4 linked regions of the Drosophila melanogaster genome follow. The protein of the gene in region 3 interacts with the protein of the main gene of each other region in a pairwise test. Each region holds a gene or a part of one and is shown on either strand. Other genes may lie near its edges. The genes, in order: kmg, Ravus, Awh and twe.

Region 1 (5,849 bases), on a different chromosome or scaffold from region 3:
AAGTGGTCGCCTGGAAGTATGCAATATTTGTTTTCAAATCAGAACGATAACATCCGGTTTCGAAACCCCTTTATAACCCCTTTATTAAACAATATTTGGACTCTGCAAAAAAAGAGACAAGCTTTTGGAATCATCACTATCTAAGGATTCCGACACAAAATCCGTTTGAGCAAATACACCAAAATCCAGACCATCCTCCCACGCACACACACACATACACGCTTCGGCCATTAGTGTGAGTGCTCGTCCTTTCTCTCTTCCAGCGGAAGTTGTCTGTGTTAATGGAATTACATGAATTCCAACTCTGAACCGCAGAGTAAAAGCGAGAATACACTGGCAGGCGACATTTCCGCAAATGCATGGCCCATAAACTTTGACGGAGGTGGTGGGGGGTGAAAGCAGTCTAAACGAATAGAGAGAGAGAGAGAGATTGTTGCGGCTAAAGCGGAAATGATAATGGCTCGAACCGACGAACGACATTTTATCGCATTTAAAACTCTGCCCCATATACATAATCCACTTTTGGCTTTCTGCTGGCAAAATCGAAACAAATGTATACAAATTATATATCATATATATTCCATATTACCTGTTGAGGTTGAAAGAATCCTCGGCAACTCTAAAGTTTTTATTTCCAACACTTATATTTCCATTCACAATACGATTCCTGAAATCGAACAAGGTGGCAATGCCTAAGAAAAGTGACAGTAGTGCTATTCGTACTATTCCTTTCAAGCCATTGCCTTGCTAGATTTATTGGAGAAATAAATCTGAGTTATTTTTTAAGAGTTTCGTTAAAAATGGGTAAGTCAATTTGTCCTAAAATTCTTTAGGATTTCCTTCAAATCACTCATTTCTTCTTAAGAAAATAAAGAAAAGAAGCAAAAGCCCCTTAAACGCCATGCCCAAGTTCCACTCATCATTCCCAAGAACTCAGTGATCAGCACCTATGCCGTCGGTCGCCTCTGTTCGGAACCTGCTTTGGTCAGGATTGAGGTTAAAGATCTGATTGGAAGTGGATCCTTTGGCCGGGTTTACCAGGCTCATGTGAATGAGTCCGAGGAAATAGTGGCCGTTAAGCAAACCCTTTACAATCCGAAGTTGAGCCAGGGCGAAGCAGAAATTATGGGTCAGCTAAAGGACCACAACAACATTGTCCGGCTCATCATGCACTCGTCCGTGAGTTTGGGCTTTCCGTCAGTGGACTACGTTTTGCTGGTTATGGAGTACATGCCTATGACTTTGCTGGACTATATCAACTATCACCTAACGGTGCTACAGCCCGCAGAGCGCCTAATCAATGTCCGCATACTCTCGTATCAGATGTTCAGAGGATTGGGATATCTTCATCTATTGGGCATTTCCCACCGGGACGTCAAGCCCGAGAATCTGCTGATAGACAACCAGAAGATGGTGCTTAAGCTAAGTGATTTTGGAAGCGCCAAACTCCTGGTGCCCCAGGAGCCCAGTATAAGCTACATTTGCTCCAGGCTTTATCGTGCTCCGGAGCTTTTTGCCGGGTACGAACTTTATTCGTGTGCCGTGGACATCTGGAGTGCTGGTTGCGTCCTGGCGGAGCTGCTCAAGGGATATCCGCTCTTCTCCAGCCACAAACATGACCGAAAGCAGCTGCGACTCATCGTTAATATGCTGGGCACCGATGGCTTGGAACGAGCTCCTGAAATACTCTCAAAGTGTGGAAATTCACTTCACCCACGGACCACTCGTCCCAGTTGGAATTATCTCCTGAATACGGCTGTTCCGCAGGATCTGTGCGGTCTGTTGAACTCGTGTTTCATCTATGAAGCCGCCGCTAGAATCTCACCTATGATGGCATGTAGTCATGGTTCCTATGATGAATTGCGCATCATGGACGCCATGGCGTTGCCCATGCCCAATGGCAATCCGCTCCCCCCTCTGTTCGACTTCAACAGCCTGGAGATGGGTACAGATCCAAAACTTTGGGTCAACCTATTACCGATCCATTTGTCTTCAATGGAGGACAAGTATTCGGTCGTAGAAGCCTTTGAAGCAGTCTAGAAGATTTTCAAAATAAACTAACTATGGCAGGGATTTTTCAGGTTGTTCAAATATCTAATTGTCCTCTTGTTACTGATGTTAAGTGTCCTGCCCTGGAAAGGAAAAAAAATAAATAATAAAAATGTATTACAAAATAATATTAAATAACATTTCAGCGATAACATGAAATTATCATTTGGATGGAAATAAAACCTGTTAAAAAACTTTTCTTAAGATGCAAAATAGATACACTAAGAAATGTTTAATATTTTATTACAATAATTCTTATTTATTAAAATCTAAAATTAAATAGGCTTATGTTAACATTAACATTGGAACCACATAAACACTTGGAACCGAATCTTGAACCGGAACCATGCGTTTTTTATTGACACCCAAGAAGCAAGTTTTATAAATTGTGGTTATGTGAAAGAAAGAATGACATTGCTATTTTTATAAAATATAAAATAAAACCTAAACCTTAATTCGGTGAGAACTACGAATTTTTTATTTGGCATTTGAACATCTCACGTCCCTGAGAACTCGTTTTCTGTCATATCGAAGTAGCCCTTGGAAAAGCCAAAAGAAGTTTAGCAGGACCATCGGAAAAGTGAATCAGTCTTACAGGAGAACTCGCACCGGACGGTTGAAAAGTGTTCTGTGAAAAAATCCAAGGAAAATTTTGCTTGTTTCAGATTTTGTCAAGTCATGGAGCTGCCTTCAATGGTGGAGCGTTCGGGTGATCGCTTGGTGGTGCGCAGCTTGGTTAGTGGTGCTCCACTTTATCAGTCATCTATTGAGGGCGGAGCAGGTGCTGTGCTTCCTATGTCCCAAAGCGTGCAGCCGCTAATAGGTCAGGACTTTTTGGAGCAACAACTGGAGCAGTATAAGGCGAATAACTTTATGTTTCCACTATCGATGGCCGGGTTTGTTTCCGCAGACTCTGCACCACCGGGGGACTTGGCCAAGGAAAATATGGAGAACTCACTGCCAGATGGTAATCCGTGCAACAACAACAACGACGATGAGCTGCCGCAGTGCAAGATACGGCGTAACTACAGCTGCAACCAGTGCGCATTCTTCACGCAAAATCCGCGCAGTCATCTCTCGCATCTGCGGGACGTACATGGCGAGCGGATTGTGATCAACGAGTGCAAGTTGTGCCTCTATGCCTCACGCCACTTCCAGAAGCTGGTGCGGCACATGAAAATGGTGCACGGCTGTTCCGATGATGGCGGCGCAGTGCAGGGATCAGGTGCTCAGCCGCGTGGTAAGCGAAATCTCTCCAGGGAGGTGCGCAAGCGTCGTCTGGAGGAGAGCATTGAAGGCCAGGGTGCGACTGGGCAATGCCTAGACCTCAGCGTGCTGCGCATGATCCAAAATGGACCGCCACTGGAGCAGCTGAAAGTAGAACTGCAGCAGCAAGAGATGCAGCTACTGGCCAGTGTCCAGGCGTACAATCGACAGCAGGAGATGCTGCAGCTGCAGCAGATCGTCGAGAGCCACGACAACATATTCTCCATGGCCTACGAGTTCCAGACCAAGTTAATGCCGCCTAAGCAAGCAGAGTCCCTGAAATTGGAACAGCAAAACAGCAGCTCCGATTCCGAGGAGACTGCGAAGAGTCCTTCGCCGGATACCCGTGAATTGGTGTCGGGTAAGGAGCAGTTTCAATGCCAGAAGTGTTCATATAGCACGCCCATTCGAGCCAGATTCAAAAAGCATGTGAAGTACCATTCCATGCCACTGATCAAGTGCAGCTCATGTGATTTTCACACACCCTACAAGTGGAATCTAGACCGGCACACCAAGAACCATGGTGCCAATGGCCATTTCAAGTGCTCGTGCTGTGACTTTAGCACGGATATCAAACAATCGCTGACCATACACGAATCAAACCATCATGTGCCCATGCCGGTTCACCAAATGGGCAACCGAAGCCGAGATGAGGCTGAGGATCTGGTGGATCAGCAGTCAAGTGGTTCCAGGAAACCAGAAACGTTTAAAAATGGTGGTGCTACCGTTGCATCGACAGAATCTCTGCTTCCCCGGACTTCGGGGATCGTTTGTTCACACTGCCAGAAGCGGGTGGGCAATGCCATGCAGTTGATCAACCATCTACAAGTGTGCACTTTGGCCTTGCACAACACCACCCAACTGCAGGCTTCTATCAACGCGGAGGTGGATCTTCACGATGAGGACTTCCCCAATGCTCCCACTGATCTCAGTTATTGCGGCGTAGAAACAGCTCCTGGCTATGGGGAGGTAAAGTCCATATATATATAAGTACATGGTGTTGCAAACTTATCCCTTTAATTTCAGGTCACAGAAGTTTTGCCAGAGGAACCCGAAGATTTGGCGCCATTGAAGAAGGTTTTTAAGTGTCCTCATTGCAGTTTTTGGGCAGCCACTGCATCTCGCTTCCATGTCCACATCGTTGGTCATCTAAATAGGAAGCCCTTTGAATGCTCTCTGTGCGCCTATCGCTCCAACTGGCGCTGGGACATCACCAAGCACATCCGTTTGAAGGCCCTCCGCGATAGATCCCATAACCAGGCCCAGGTGCTGATGAACGATGAGACCGGTAGGCGCAACTACGCCAAGTACAATCAGTATCTGACTATGATGAAGGTAAGCGCCGAACAATTGGCCGATTCGAAGGGAATGCGCACGGGTGAAATGATTGTGATGCCGCCGGAGAAGCTAGACGACCATCATCCCATGGAAACGGAGGAGATCATCGAGATGGTGGATAGTGCTCATTCGACCTCGGCACTGGATTTACGAAAGCCCAGGGATGACCAGACGGAGGACTTGGCAGGCAACAGCGATGAGCTGCCGCAAGAGGGAGCCAAGACGGAGCCAAATTTAGAACCCTTGTCATTTAAATCATTGAATTCATCACAAGTCATGCCAAAGCCCAAAGGGTCGCCTATGAATTTGACCAAGACAGATGGTGGTCAATCAGACGAAACGACATCCGCTGATGAATCCAATGAAAGCGATTAAAACGGATCTTTCGAATCTTTGAATACTCAATTCTCAGCAACAATATTAAAAATTAAATAAAAATACGTAAATCGATTTAAATTTATCCGGTTTTTAAGATTTCTATGAGAGAACTATTATTGTGTATTCGTTTATAGTTTTGTAGGGATAATTGGGGCAAGTTCAGCCCAAAAAATAGGTACCAATAAATAAGTAGTTAATAGTTAATTTAGCGTGGCTAATGTATTAGTGACAGATCAGCTAAGCTTTAGTCTCGAATAATAACACTACGAATTTAGATCACGCGCTTTTCACAGCAAACATTCCTGTATGAAAAATAATACTATGCATATCAGGACGAACAGCGGCACCAGGAAGCAGACTTCATCTACGCTGAAAGTGCCCAGGATGAGCCACAAATCGAGGCAGAGATACCGCGCCTGCAGGAGCCACAACCACATGCACTAAGCCGTCTGGCACTGTACGCCCTCAAAGTGAGACGACTGTCCGTCCTCGTCTTCCTGCTGTCGTGGCTGCGGCTTATAGTCCGTCATTTGCACTTCCTCGGCGTTCTTTGGGATCACTATCGGCTGTCTGGGAGGGAGTAAGTCCTCCAGCATGGCCAACTGCGGTGCCGTGGCAAAGTCGTTGTCCGGAAACTTAACCTTAAACTTCATGTAGAGATCTCCACTGTCGGTGGCCTTGTTAAAAACAGGCATACCACTGCCTCGCACCATCTTGATCTGGTTGTGCTGCAACACTTCACCAGGGTACGTGCGCAGACAGACGTTTCGTCCATCCAAGTGCTTGAAACAATGCGAGTAGCCGCACAAGGCCTCCGT
Region 2 (4,629 bases), on a different chromosome or scaffold from region 3:
TTTTGGGGAGCAGCATTTGAAGTTATATGGCGGGGTGAGTCAATTTACCTGCTTCACCTGCTGGTTGCATGAGGCACTTTCCTTATCGCGCCGTCAAGATGTTTAACCCATTAGTCATTTGGGGAACTTATCAGACCCACAACCGGAGCTTATGGGAAACCGCGATAGCTGGCCCCGATATGTAGACCCACCCACACCCATTGCCTGGAAAAACATTGCTAACCGATTTGTTTTCTTACTTTCGCAGGGCATATCGGACATTCTGCTCCAGGGAGTCCAGTTCCCGTTCTACTGCGGGAAAGCCATGTTAGAGGGCAAGCAAGCTTTTTAAGGGGGATATTTCCCCAATATCAATTAACTAAGTGCCTTACTGATAACTCTTGTTTTCAATCATTTTTTACAATTTTACAAATAAAGATTTATTAACTTATATTTATAATTACTGGCATTTTTTCAATTGATTGATTCTGATTGATTCAATCTGATATTACATGTTGTTTGTTCGTTACAGTTGATAAATTCGCCTGATGGAGTGATTTTTACTATCTTTACCTACAGAACATACATTAAACTATCATGCGATAAACTTTTTATCACATGGTATTGTACATGCGTAATATTTACCCTTCAGAGAATTCGCTTTGTATCATTCACAATAAGTAAATCACAATTGTTACCCACACACAAGAAGTGGTTTCCATTGATTACAGCTCTTCCGTGATATCATTCTCTGAGAAAATTCACAATTTATACTTTGCTGGCAAACCAAGGTCAGGAAAACACTTTTTGAAATGCAGTTAGTGAAATATTAAAGCGAACCTAATACCTTAATGAGCCCATTTATTGGGCACTTAAATTTCTAAACGGATGAAATGTAATGAAGCCATTTCATAGAACAAAAACACCATCAGATAGATTTAAAGAATAAATGCACGCCACACTACAACAACTAATAAATAACTTTATTAATGAAAATCAGTTAACAAAATTAAAAAATGAAAGCACTAGCATATATTCTAATTGCCGTATTGAGCACGGTTTGGAACCGATTCCAAAGTCCAGGTGAATTTATTTGGTGGTAGAAGCCACTGTCGCATTCTGCTGACCACTGCCTGAGGCTTCAGCTGCTCCAGACCTGGAGTTTCCCGCGAGATCCGGAAGTCCGGCGACCTCAGAGAGCGCCTCCTGTTCGCAAAGAGCACGCAACTCGAGCTCCCCAATGAGCTGCATTACCCGGATCTTACCCTCGGTGGCCAGTTTGGGCGGCAAGTTCTTGACGGTGGCACATATGCTGTCGAAGAACAGCTCCAATGAGTCGCGCGGTGGCGTTATAGGTGACAATGGTTGCAGTTGATAAGATTGCAGCGGGCGGGCAGCATAGGAGGGCGTCGTGTGTATAGGCGTTATGGTGGCCTTGGAATTGATCTCCTGAGCTTGGCACATCCCACTGAGTGGAGTACTGTGCACTGGAACTTTTTTAATGGTGATCCTGCATGGCGGAGCTACTGTTGCTGTTGCTGAGGATGTGGGATAGGCGGAGACAGTGGTCGGAAGACTTTGAGGCCCCTCGTTGATGGTCACGTGTAGTGGCAGATAATCCAGCATGCCAGAATTCTGTGAGTCGGTCTCCGAAGTGCGGCGCTGCTGCTTAATGACGGGCTCCGTTTCGAGATCATTTTGTGCTTCCAGTTCTTGAGTCCGCTTCTCATCGTCCTCGCAGTCGCCCTCTGTTTCGTCAAGTTCTCCCTCCTCCTCATCTTCTGTCTCGTCGTCTTGGGGATCTGTTCCGTATTGTAGTAGACCCTCCTCGTCCTCGGTATCCTCCCACTTCATCGCACCGGAGCTGGATCCATTGAAGCTCGAATTGTTTGCCTTGGCTGGCAATGATTTTCTTTGTGCATTTTCCGAGTGCTTAATGCTACCCTCGTGCTTTCCCAGATCAGATCTCTTGCAGCTGAGCCTGCACTCGCACACCGCGCAGAACACGAAGTGCGGATCCGTCTCATCCGGGAGCAACCACGGATATATCGCCTGGTACTCCGGCTTTGTCTTGGGTCGAGGATATTTCAGCAGGGCGCACGGCCGGCGTGGCCTGTATTCGGAGCGTAGGGCATCTCTGGGCGGCGAATATAGTCAGTGAACATAAGACCCTGGTCTCTTACTTTGGTATACTCACAGTTTTTCCTGAGTTAACTGGAGGTTTGACATTTGGGTAGTCTTTTCCAAAATATAAACAAAATCCAGTGAGGTATGACCGTGCGCACATGCATAGAAATACCGCATAACCCGTTTTGCACATGCTGTAAGAGTTGTCACCCACACCGGTTGTTTGTTTCTACACACTTTATTTTAAATATTCAACGATATATGAATCATATGCTAATGCATGTAATTTCTTTATATGCTTTCTAAGCATAATGTTCATGTAGTTATTAAATAAATAATTGCAGTTATACTATGAACAGTACGTTTTAAGACCGTTCTCAATAAAGTGACCAGTCCAGTCCCTCAGTTGCATTTTATGTATTTTTTGAACTTCCTTAGTATATGGTCCTTAGCCCGCCGGTTTAATGCAACAGTACGGTCACATTGGCCATCGCCTTGACAGCGATTCTGAGTTTTCGCTTGCGATTATTTTTATTTTTTTAGTTTATAACCGTATACTGTGATCTCCCAAAAGCTAACAAATATTAGAGCAAAGTGCCTGGATAACCAGTATCTCGTGATGGATCGGGATTCGAGCATGCAGGCGAAAAACCTAGATGCTCAATGCAACCCAGACCTCAAAATGGCGTCTGCAAATTCAGAAACTTTAGCGTCGGCAACGCACGAGCTGAAAATTATGGACGTAGAGGGTGGTGCTCTGGTGGATCCGGATCACATCGAGGAAGTGGAGACCTCCATGGTCATCGTGGTGGATGATGACGATGGGGATGTGGCCATGGTGGTGGAGGAGGACAAGCACCCGATGCGGGATGACCCGTGTATTGAGGACATCATGGATGACGAACATGCTCCATTGGTGGCCGAGCTACAGTCCGCTCTAAATAACCCAGACGACAAACAGGCCAGCGAGGATCCCCTCCTGGAAGACCAGGAACGTGAACCCGATGCCATGTCCACTAAAACTGAACCCTCCAGCGATGCGGAGAGCTCCCATTCGTACCACGATCCCATGGGCCTGCTGGAGAGGATTGAAATCCATGATCCGGGAGACAGCCAGGATGACGACGACGAGGATGACGAAAGCAGCAATGGCGGTGGCGTTGACGGAGGCATGCGCCGCAAGATGCCCCGCGCACAGCGCTGGCTCCTCTGGATGAAGCGTTGGCCCTGGATCCTACACGAGGACTCCGATGGCACCTTAGCGTTCTGCCTTTACTGCAACATATCCATTAACGTGAACAACCGCTCTAGACACATCCAACAGCACAACGTGTCGCTCTCCCACCAGGAACGCGAGTGCAACTATCTGGCATTCAAGAAAAGTGAGGAGGAAACTCGAGGAGCGTAAGTGTCACAGTTTTAAAGATTACAAAAAAGAGTACAGAAATCTAAAATTCGGAGAAATCAAGTTAATTAATCCGCCGTATAAAGTAAAAGCTCAACTCTTCAAATGCCTTTCACTTTGTAAAGGGTTTGTACCGAAATCCAGAAAGCCCACTGTAGTGTGAAAAAAACTGCCAACTTAATGAAGGGAGCACTGCTCCGAGTCCGCATTAATTTTCCAACGTGTAGCAATTGTTTGACACAAAGAAACTGGTGTATGATAGGCTTGGTCGCGGTTCAGAATAGATTTTACATATATTACACTCCCTGCTTTCAATGAGGGTAGCTCTACTCGTAATGTTAGTAAGATTTGCACCTTTAAAAAACGAAATACCGAAATCATATTGAGATCACCGAAAGTTTGCGAACACTTATTAACTCCCAATTATCCGTAGAATCAGCGACAACGAAATCAAGCACGAATTCGGCACCAAGAGCTATGTGGCCGCCATGAAGCAAAAACGAATCTCCGAGACCGAGGCATTTAACAACTTCAACTGGCTGCGTTGGCTCCGTTGGCATCCTTGGCTTGAACGTTCCATGCCCACAGGGACCATCGGGACATGTCGCATCTGCAGCGTGCGAATGAACGTGGAGTTTGTCTATTTGCGCAAGCGCCACGAAACCACCAAAGGTCACATGGAGGCACTGCGCAACCTAGATTCCGATAAGCGGAGTCGGAAGCGAAAGAGGAGCAAGAGCAACAGCGTGACCAATAGCGGCGGGGATGAGGCCGAGCGAGAGAAGGAATCTGAACCAGAAGTTGGGCCGGAGGATGCTCAGGACACCCCTGTGGTTATGATGAACGGCGATGTGGACTCAGGCGACGACCCTGGCAAGTGGTGTGCACTGATTCCGGACACCAATCCACAGCAATGCCGATGTACGCTCTGCAACTGCACAATGGCGATTACCAGCTTCCTACGGCACTGTAAAACCAGAGCTCATTGTCACATGCTATCGACACCCGCTGAAAAGGGGTGAGTTGACACTCCTACAGAACGTAAATAGCACCTGTTCTTTAACTGCTTTCACTTTTTTACCTCAGCTCTTCAGATATTCGCGGCATTTGGGCCGTGT
Region 3 (5,350 bases):
ACTAATCACTTTGGCTACTGTTCGTAGATGCCATCGATAAAATGATATTGAAATTCTCTATCGGCTCAATTTGCAATTGTCAGGCAATTAAAAACAAATTTTTTTTGATGACAAAGTGGCAAGAACGAATCAAGTGGCATATTTGTAGCGATACATATGTATATTAGAAAGTGTTATACATTTTATTTAAAATCAAGTTCTTTTGAAAATGTGGGATAACTTATATAGTATGCGAACTACAGTTTGTAATACGAAAACGATTCCTTTTTGGCCAATTTACAATTGTCAAGCAATTAAATGCGAATATTTTCAGGCGACAAACTGGCAAAAGGACATTTATTTTATTTATTGGAATTTTTTGCCAGAAATCGAAATCGAATGGTTTGCATTTAGGGGTTGGCTCGTAAATTCCAGGGGCGGGTTTGGGTCTCTATCTTCCTTGATTTCTTTTTTTTTTTTTTTTTTTGAGTTGCCGGCAGACAGGAGTGGCAATGATTTGTGGCATTTTACAATTTTACAGGCCCAAGGGCCATGCATCATTTGTAGGCCAACTAAGCGTCCTTTAAGGACTATTTTGTGGATGCACTCGAACGAACAATGGCAAGACACTCGACTCGCCTTCCATTGTGCGGTTTTGTGAGGACCTCTTGTGCCTCCTGCATTCGATGTTCATTCGAAGAGGACTTCTCGCATTTACCTGCTAAAAATGCTGCTGCGATTTTGACACATCTACCCAGCGATCTCTTCCTGCAATTCGCATGCGCAACCCGACTGAAAACTGACCAGGAACTCTGGCATCTATTGTCAATAGGTATGTACATACTACATATATGGATTCGAGGCCCAAAACAAAGGTGTGATATTTGTTTCTCTTTGTCCCTGATCGGGGCAATTGGCTCAAGTCAAGATGCATTTTCCGTTTGCCCATTGTTTTCCCAAGGAGACAAGAACCGAGGCGTAGACTTCTTGTCAGCGTTGACAATTAGGCATTTTCGACCAGTGGTCACAGGACACTCTTCAGAATGTCCTTTGTTTGGGAATCCAATTATTAGGGGGCTTGCTGAAAAATCTGCTGACCGCTGGCCAGGCAGCTGGTTTTGCAAAACATCCTTTTGGTAAGTAGGAAAATCTTGGCCATCGGCACGCGCTCCTTTTTTTGGTTTCTTGTGCGGGATTATGGGACAATGGAGTTAGGCGTGTAATCCTCAAAAGGTGTTTTGTCAAACACTCAAAGCTAATAAGTAGATGGAGATATAGAAAGTCAAATCCTAAAATCTCTGTAATCACTCTGTATTTTTAGTTCGCCTTCAAATACCCAATTGCCAATTAAAGAAAACTTTTTCGAACCGCAGATGGAGGCGTCAACGACTTCTTACACAAAACATTTTTGGTGTATCTATTTATGGGAGGTTTAGTTTTTTCCAATCTTTCAATTTTCTTGTGAATTATTAATGAAAAATCGATTATTGAAATATGTATATACGTTTTTTATAGCTGCTTCGCAGGCATTCGACATTTAAGCGCTTAAATATTTATGCCTTTTTTATATCTCTTTCTCCGACTGACTACCTAAGAGCAGGGAAAAAAAGACTCCATCTCCATACTTTGTTGAATATTCATAAGGCAGCGCCTAGTGGCGTCATTTTCGGATTTGGATTTGGATGATAAAGCGGGGCGGCGACATGTGGAAGGGGGGGGATCCACCAACATCTGGGCCGGGTCAAGATCGATGATGTCAAGAAAAGGTCTCTCGCCGAGAATCCCCCATGCCCCTTGACCATCGACGGCACCTCAGAACTGTTGACATTTGAGTTCTGGACTTCGAATTGTAAGCGGATCCCCCGCTGATCTGATTTTTCCCCCTATGACCGTGGTGCGTATAGAAATCTAGCTAAATAAAATCGGGCGATTAAAATTATATCGCAGAGCAATAAGCGTCAGCACCTTGTCCAATTTGCTATGGTAATGAAAATTATGCTCGTCGAACAAAGCCATGGTAAATCGATCATCGGCGAGCATAAATCATGATCGATTCTCTGCAGACTCATGGCAAATATTTTTCGAAAATCCTGTGGGTGGTTCACACACACAACAAAAAAAGCCCGTCGCACAGCGGGTGTAAAAATCGATTAAACGTTTTCGGACTGGGTATGAAATAAAATCAAAGTCAAAATCAAATTCGAAATTCAAAAACCAAAAAATATGTGTTGTTGAATGAACAAGGGATTGAGCAACATCATCTAGGCGACACGATCAATGCAATGTCTTGAAAAGATACAAAACAAAAAAAAAAAAAGGCCAAGTTGAATATGATTTTTGGGGTTTGGTTGCAGATACATCCGAATATCAGCCTTCATTTCACAGCCAATATTCGAGTAATACCCAAAAGTGTGGGCTGCGATCTGTGGCTTATTCGCTGAGTGTTTTCGATGGGAGGAACCCCACTGTGCGATTTGTGTGCTTTTCATATTCACCGCCCTGTGTCGTCTCCATATTTTTGAAAACTCATCGTTTTCCAGCCGCTATTAGTGTGCTGGCTTTTTCGAATTGAATTGAAACTGTTTTGCTCCGGTTTTTGTCTTAACTCCGGCTCACTTCTTTTTTTACTCCCAATGGTCGAGCAAACGCCGCCTGTTGCGTTTTCTGGCCCAATATGCTCGCAGCGGGCTAGGAAACTTTACATAAAAAACTGATTTGTGGGTCACTCGGGGTCTACTGGACTTTATGTCCAGCAATTAAAAAGGAAAGCAGAAACTTCATTTTGAGGGGGTGTGCAAACAGACCGCTCAAACGCCGAGCAATACGGGTGGAACATGCAACACTTACAGTCTAATTTAATAGAGAATATTAAAGACTAACTTTATTCAAAAATGTAGAAATTTATAATACACAGACTGATAACTTTCCTCTTTCCAATAGCAATAAAGTTGATTTTTTACAACTCAATCTATCTTTTTATAAAGCAATCGAGACTCACCTTCATTTTAATTGCCTCCACAATTTTGGCGGTTGTTAATCCAAGTATCTTGCTCGAAAATCTGTCGCCAGCTTTAGCCTGGGAATCGATATCGAGCCCGATCGCAGCCAGTATGAGGAGATATAGATGATAAAGACGACGACTTGATCAGTTTGTCAAGCGTCCCACGGAAGCCGCCGTCTGCATAGGATGCTTATATAATCGTATTCTTAAACCAGATCTATTAATAACCAGTGTAAATTCGCATATCCGAGATAGAAATCAATTTGCAGGCGCTTGCAACATTTTTTTTGTTTTTGATTAGCACATTCGATAACAGTTCACTTTCTTAGCCGACGGCGAATGTTGCGTTTCGATTTCAATAATATAATGTGCGACACCTTATGGCATGGAATACTCGTAGAACCTTATCACGATAACACGTTTCACTGCAGATACTCTGAGCGCTTCTCGCTTTTCTCGTGACGGAGCGGAGCGGATCGAGCGGATCGAGCGGACGCGAGATGTTGTTACAGCTTCGAGGCCACTGCGTTAACTGCCGGCGCTCGGGGTTCGAGCTCAGGGATCTGGTGGTGGTGCTCAACTGGCTCGGCTCACGCCCGGTTTCCATATGCTCATGGCATGCCCGCCACCACCACAGGTATGATGATGAACCAGCCGTACGCACAACCACAACCACCAGTCAGTCCCATTCGAAACTCGACTCGAGAACTCGCTCAACTGGTTTTTGAGCGCACATCTGTCGTCGGCGCAACGGGAATGGTGGTGATTGGCCCGCCTGGCCACGCCCCTTTGCGCCCCGCATAACGAGTTCCGCAGTGGTGTCCCCCATTTTGAGTGCTTTCCCAGTCCGCGCCGCCTGTGCACCAATTGAGTGCGCCGGCGCGTGCCAACTTGGCCACTTGAATCGAGTCGAAACTCGGAGTGAAATCGTGCCGCGAATTGGGTGGGTGTTGCTCTGGTGACGATGTTGCCATTTCTACTGATATGGCTGTTACTCGAAGGAATTTCTGTCATATTGCTGGTGCTTTCGATGTTGTTGCTGCTGTTTTTGAGACTCGTGTGGCTGCTGTTACTGTATCTTTTGTTCTTTATAAAGCAGTATCTGTTGTAGCAGCTTTTCCTAGAAAAGATTTCACTGTTGTGGTTACTTTTGCCTAGAAAAGCTACCAATGTTGCTCCTGTTGCAGTTGTAACAGTTGTCATGCTGCTGCGTTTACTGGAACAGATGTTGCTTCTAACTCTTTTGCTTTTACTCAGGATATTTCCACTTAAGATTCTCCTTGAATTGTTGTGCCTTTCAATAATATTGCTGTTGTTACTGCCACTTTTGCTTTTTCAAGTAAGTATATTGTTGTTACTATAATTTTCACCGTGACTTCAACTGATGTTACTGTCATTTCTGCTTTTCCTGCTGACTTTTTTGCTGCCTGAGTGAGTAAAAGTCCAGGAAAACCCGAATATCGAGGGAGGAAGTAAGGGAGAGGGAAAACGGAACTCGAGCTCCGCCGCACTTGACTTTTTGGGGTCAAACCGCTTGATGGAGGGGAAGTGAGTTGATGCCAGTGGATGCTGCTGTCTTTTCGGTTATATATTTTTTATTTCTGTTGGCTGTTTGTGATGGCATGCCAAACATGATAGCGCAGCAGACTGACTCAAAGAAAAAAAGGTTTAAAGTTAAAAACATTTTATTTTATTTAACATAAAATTAAATTGCATGGCTTTAACAATAATAATATAACAACAATAACAATATATTGCTTTTATATTAATACTTTTAAAGAAAGTACTATTATTAATGATTCCTTGGTGCTAAATAACTCTTCAAGTTACTCCAGTTTCCTTTGTCCCCTTTATACTTTGATTTAAGCCTGAGTTTAAGCTTTATGTGCAACACCGATCCCCTTGAGGATTTCCATTTCGAGCACTTTAACCATTACTTTGCACCATTTTTCATTCACTGTCTCTTTGATCGTGGGCTGTCTCTTAAAGCCGCTTGGCATTCAATTGGCATTTGGCTGTCGCCATCATCCAGTCGAGTGGCCCCCACCGCCTCCTCCTTCGCCAATCCTTCTGCCTGCCCCCGTTTTTTTTACCACTTTTTCTCCGCTTTTTGCTTTGCTCACGTTATTTAAGGATTAACATCATTTTATGGTGCCTCGCAATGCCTTTTTTGCAGGATTAAATGCTGCTGCCTGCTGGCTCTCGTTCTCCTGTCACTGCACTGGAAAAAAATTAATATATCTTTAAACTGTTCTATACTTAAATAAAAGCTTCAAGCTTAAAGTTAACCATTTATAGAAATATCTGTCATAAAACCTGCAAACTGCTTTAGGGTATTGTCATTTGTTGTTTAATTTCCATTTCGTCAGC
Region 4 (5,451 bases), on a different chromosome or scaffold from region 3:
GGTTTTTCCTTTTTCCCTCAACAAAACAATCAATTTTTTATGTTTGCGGGTATTTTGATGAGGTGGGCTCCTGAAGGAGTCTTTATATTTTATAACTATATTATTTATATCACTAGCTTTTGGTAAAACTATACAGCATTATGAGTACCTATAATTGCTCCTCTTCGATTTGCAAATCTGTCGAGAAGACATACATGTCCCGTCGTCTGGCGAAAAGCATTTCCTGTCGCTTGGGATGAGTGGCTAAGGAGTGGACGACGCCGCCATTATCACCTGACGGATATATGACAAAGGAAACCCACATGTTAATATATGTATATAGCTAATAATCAAAGTTCAACTTCACTTGCTTACTTATGCGAATGCGCTGCAGTACTTTCCCATCGAGCAGGTCGTAAACAAAGGCGTCTCCATCACTGGAGCCCGTGACTATTTGGGCATCGTTTGACAGTATTCCGCACTCGATGTGGTAGTCATCGCCGCGATGTCCCCTGTACTCGGAGAGTAATCCGCCGGTCTCACAGTCCAGCAGACGAACCACACTATCCTGACAGCCGGCCACCAGACATTGCTCGTCGCGCGTCTGCGCCAGATATGTGATGGGTTCACCAATTTTGTCGCAGGTAAGTTCGCCCACCCGAATATCGTAGGTCCTCACACATCCGTCCAAGGAGGCGGCGTAGATGCGATTCTCGTTGGTTGCCACCGTGGTGATGCAGTCCCGGGCCTCCTTCATCACCTGAACGGGATCCAGGCGACGCGTTCGAATGTCCCAGCACATTACGGCATTATCTCGACCCCCGGAAATGGCTATCGAGGAGTCCTCGTTGAAGCAGACGCATCTAACACCTCCGGCATGGCTACGCAGGCGCCGTACTGGTGCTCCTGAAATAGGCGAGAGAAACATTAGCCATAATTGGTGCGCTGTGATTACAACTCACCCGTTGACACGTCCCAGTAGATAATGCTTTTATCCAAGCTGGCGGAAACGATATAGCTACTATCACAGCTTCCCTGCAATATGCCAAAGTGGAGTACTTAATAATAAGAATAATACTAAGTGAGAAAAAACTATACCGCCGCATCGGTGACTTCATCCGCATGACCACCATAAGTCTTAAGCAGTAATCCCGATGCCGGATTCCACAGCTTTATCTTCTTGTCAGATCCACAACTCAAGCAATAAGTGCCATCAACTAAAGATTAAGGATCAAGATGAGTTAATGCTTAAAAATCGGGCACTGAAAACCATTCACCATTATAGCGCACAGCTCGCACTGCACCTTGTTTGCAGTCAATTGTGGTTTTTACGTTAAAGTTCTCAAATTCCGGCATATTTGTATTAAAAACAATAACACAACTGCAGCACGAAAAATATAAACAAACGGACAGTGTGACCAGATGTAATAAATGTTAATATGTTTTTGTCAAATTTTCCACTGGAAAAATGATATGATTCATAATTATAATTGTGGAATGTTTTTATTTTATTACGCTCATTAACGATTATTCTATGTATCTTTTTCTTATAACTATTTAAAGTACAAATTTATTGATTGAAAATATATTGATTTCATCGCATATTATGGTGGTAGAACACGTTATCATTAAGATGGCTGCGCTTTTTAAATTCAATTTCATTGCTCTTTGTCAAATAAAGTTGAACCAGCCATGCAAATACCAACAAAAAAATATACAAGCAATTTAAATTCAAACTAGAGCGTCCTGTTTAAATACGGCGCAGTGGTGAGTTAGCAGGTGGTGGGTTTGCATCGGTAGAATGGGGAATTGATAAAGGCGCCAATAAAGTTGACCGCCAAAAGCGAAACAAACAAGTCGACAGAACAAGAAAATCGTCAAGGATTTGGCAATCGAAATCACTGCGCACGCTGGAACCCAAAATCTGAACTTCCCAATAGTTACGTATATCGCAAATAGATCAGGGTAAGAACAATTGCGAAAATCCAGCTGATTTTAGCAGCTTCCAGCTGATAAAAAAATCATTGTTTTTTTTCTTTTTAACGCGCAGATGGCGAGCAAGCGGCTAATGCTCGATGTGGAGGAAGAAGATGATGAAAGTGGAGCGTGTGGTCAGGAGAATTTCGATCCCCATGATGCCGATATGGAATACCAGGCCAAAAGGCGAAAATCAGCCGTGCAGGAGACTCCGCTGCAATGGATGCTGAAGCGGCATATTCCTGCCAGCACCACCGTTCTGTCGCCCATCACCGAATTGTCGCAGAATATGAATGGAGCCCGCCTGGATGGCACTCCCAAGTCCACCCAGAGAATCCCAGCCAACAGGACCCTGAATAACTTTAATAGCCTGTCCTCGCGAACACTCGGCAGTTTCAGTAGCTCCTGCTCGAGTTACGAGTCGGGCAACTCGCTGGATGATGAGTACATGGACATGTTCGAAATGGAATCAGCCGAGAATCACAATCTTGAGTTGCCCGATGACTTGGAAGTGCTCCTCAGCGGACAGCTGAAATCGGAAAGCAATTTAGAGGAGATGTCCAACAAAAAAGGCTCCCTGCGTCGCTGCCTTAGCATGTATCCCAGTGAACAGCCAGAGGAAGCGGTTCAAGAACCAGATCAGGAGACCAACATGCCCATGAAGAAGATGCAACGGAAAACTCTATCAATGAACGACGCCGAGATCATGAGAGCACTGGGAGATGAACCAGAGTTAATCGGAGATCTCAGCAAGCCATGTACCCTGCCCTGTTTGGCGACAGGCATTAGACATCGTGATCTAAAGACCATCTCCAGTGACACATTGGCCAGACTGATTCAGGGCGAGTTTGATGAACAATTGGGAAGCCAGGGCGGATACGAGATCATAGACTGCCGTTACCCATACGAGTTCCTTGGCGGACACATACGGGGAGCGAAGAATTTGTACACACGTGGGCAGATACAGGAGGCGTTTCCCACGCTGACCTCCAATCAGGAAAATCGACGCATCTACGTCTTCCACTGTGAGTTCTCCTCGGAACGGGGTCCCAAGCTATTGCGCTACCTGCGGAGCAACGACAGAAGTCAGCATACCCACAACTATCCGGCACTGGACTATCCTGAACTTTATATCCTGCACAATGGGTACAAGGAGTTCTTCGGTCTATACTCGCAGCTATGCCAGCCCAGCCAATATGTACCAATGCTGGCACCGGCGCACAATGATGAGTTTCGATATTTTCGGGCCAAGACCAAGTCCTGGCAATGTGGCGAGGGCGGAGACAGTGGAATCGGCGGTGGAGGCTCTCGCGGCCTCCGGAAATCACGTTCACGACTGCTCTACGCCGAGTGACCATTTCAGGCTATAGATACAATTCTCGAATCGATCCACCTGCCATAAGCTCACAGAGATCTCAATGAGAAACGATGGCTGCCCAATTTTACTCATAGAATTATTTTGTAATATTTAAGGACGCACATTTTAAGGTTCATTTCTTGTTGCGTTGTTCAAATGTTGTGAAAGCACTTTATATTTATTTAGTTCTTGATTTTGTATTATGTTCCACGTTGTGTGGACACAGAGCACCCAAATGGGAACCACCAAAGATGGGAAGAAGAACAGAAAATGGATATATGTTCTCTAGTCAGTGTATGTAATAGTTTCAAAATTAATTAAAGTTCATTTTTGTGTTCGGAATTTAAAAGTTAACTTAAGAAAGTATTTCATATTTTATTTTAGTATTTAAGCATAATAATCTAACCATTGGATTTAAGAACTTCAAAGGAAATTACGAAAATTGTCTATGTATGAATACAAACTATGCTGAAACTATTTATGTGGATTCCACCTACATCGGTCAACTTTTATTAAAAGTATCTAAAAACAATCATTTAATACACAATTTAAAAGTTTTAGGATGCATAATGCTTAATTAGAACAGGAGATGTAAGAATACTCATAAAATATTTCAAGAAAATTCGTGATACAAATTTTAAATCAAATGAAGAAAAATGTTCCTTAATTTATATGCTATTATAGTTTATATATATTACAAAATTTTAAATGCTTTAAGCTATTGAAGAAATATGAAGAGAACAAATAATTTGTTACTGATCGAGATAATAAAAAGGACCACTATTTTTGAGAACAGTTATAAAATACTTATCATTTTATTCATTTTTAAACAATTTCTAACATTTCGAAACATAATTCAGATATTGAAATGCTTTACTGTGTGTGCCTTCAGAGATTACGACCAGAATAGGTGTTTTAGTACATAAGGAAACAATCCTTCAGTCATGAAAGATGCACTACTAATCATCATTTACAGGTCCTTCAAAGGGAGCCTTGCAACCAGCCTTTTCGTAAAACTCGAATGGCAGCGGATCCTCGTTGTCGTAATAGTCGGAATCGCGGGCGCAACTGGGACCAAGTTCCATTTTCACCATCTTGTCGCGCCAAAAGTCGAGAAGCTCTTTGGTGAGAACCTCATCCCTCAGATTGAAAATCCAACTGTTGTAGTCGTCGGGCCCATAGAAACCAGCATCACCCTTGTACTCCTGCAGCAGCTCGGCGGCCTTGTTTTGATCCTCCGCTGAGGGTGTGCCATCGAAGAGCAGCTTCCAGATTATCTCCCTGGCGGCTGCCGCTATCTTCTTCACGCTGGCCTGGTGAACGCTGTCCGGAACGATGATTTTGGTCAGAACAAAGCGCTTCATTAGAGTTCGGTATTCCTCGAGCGGATTTTCCTTGGTCAGGGTGGCCTCAAATTCGCCAGACAGAGCGGCGGCATCATCGGCACTCAGTTCACCCGGAGTTGTAGGCGTCGCTGGCCCATCCTGATCCAGCGAAGCCTGCTCCTCGAGTGCTGCGCGCACCTTTAAGCTGGCTGCAAATGGAGCGGTACAACCGGCATGGGCATAGAACTCCAATGGCGGGGTGTCGTCGCTGTCAAAGAGATCACTGTCGCGTGACCAACAGGGACCGAGTTGCTTCTTCACCAGCACATCGCGCCAAAAGTCGAGGAGTTCCTTCTTTAGAACCTCATCCCTCAGCTTGACAATCCATTCGTTGTACGGCGTCGGGTCGTAGAAGCAGGCGTCACCACGGTATTCCTCCAGCAATTGGCTGGCCTTCTCTGTGTTCGATTGCGAGGTACCGGCCTCGTCGAATAACAGCCGCCAGATGACGTCACGCGCCGCTGCAGCCGTTCGATCGAAATTCTCCTTGGTGACATCATCATCCACGATTTCGTCTACCTGCACGCGTGTTTCGATAAGCTTTTGGTAATCCTTAACGGGATCCACCAGGCCAATGGTGTAATCGTTCTGTCCAGACAATAGTTGTTATTGTTTGTAAACTATTTTTGTTTATTTTCTATGGCTGTTGCTTATTACCTGTGCTACTTTCTCGGCCGTTGCCATTTTGTCGGATTGTGTGTCCTCGGCCTTGCGCTTGGACATTCCCCTCTGGATAAATTGGCGATTTAAGGT

What was found.
Region 1: the proteins of Awh (region 3) and kmg interact in a two-hybrid assay, tested with the Drosophila melanogaster proteins (one large-scale study listed by BioGRID).
Region 2: the proteins of Awh (region 3) and Ravus interact in a two-hybrid assay, tested with the Drosophila melanogaster proteins (one large-scale study listed by BioGRID).
Region 4: the proteins of Awh (region 3) and twe interact in a two-hybrid assay, tested with the Drosophila melanogaster proteins (one large-scale study listed by BioGRID).

What each region holds. Positions count from the first base shown.
Region 1 is NT_033779.5:13,158,079-13,163,927, forward strand, and holds kmg (kumgang), read left to right. Parts: upstream 1-2,448; 5' UTR 2,449-2,508; intron 2,509-2,714; 5' UTR 2,715-2,727; coding exon 2,728-4,284; intron 4,285-4,341; coding exon 4,342-5,028; 3' UTR 5,029-5,075; downstream 5,076-5,849. Other genes in the region: Pk34A (protein kinase at 34A), read left to right, coding at 801-804, 866-2,040; DnaJ-H (DnaJ homolog), read right to left, coding at 5,472-5,849.
Region 2 is NT_033777.3:13,261,791-13,266,419, forward strand, and holds Ravus (ravus), read right to left. Parts: upstream 2,272-4,629; 5' UTR 2,209-2,271; coding exon 2,177-2,208; intron 2,117-2,176; coding exon 1,069-2,116; 3' UTR 943-1,068; downstream 1-942. Other genes in the region: CG11686 (uncharacterized protein), read left to right, coding at 248-331; Su(var)3-7 (suppressor of variegation 3-7), read left to right, coding at 2,726-3,510, 3,945-4,529, 4,598-4,629.
Region 3 is NT_037436.4:3,844,375-3,849,724, reverse strand, and holds the start of Awh (arrowhead), read right to left. Parts: upstream 3,520-5,350; 5' UTR 2,984-3,519; coding exon 2,978-2,983; intron 1-2,977. UniProt on the Drosophila melanogaster protein: Probable transcription factor. Required for the establishment of a subset of imaginal tissues: the abdominal histoblasts and the salivary gland imaginal rings.
Region 4 is NT_033779.5:16,258,084-16,263,534, reverse strand, and holds twe (twine), read left to right. Parts: upstream 1-1,657; 5' UTR 1,658-1,944; intron 1,945-2,029; coding exon 2,030-3,310; 3' UTR 3,311-4,121; downstream 4,122-5,451. Other genes in the region: CG4935 (uncharacterized protein), read right to left, coding at 149-273, 355-885, 942-1,014, 1,078-1,196, 1,257-1,335; EndoGI (endonuclease G inhibitor), read right to left, coding at 4,273-5,286, 5,356-5,421. UniProt on the Drosophila melanogaster protein: Required during meiosis. Regulates the transition from the extended G2 phase to the onset of the first meiotic division.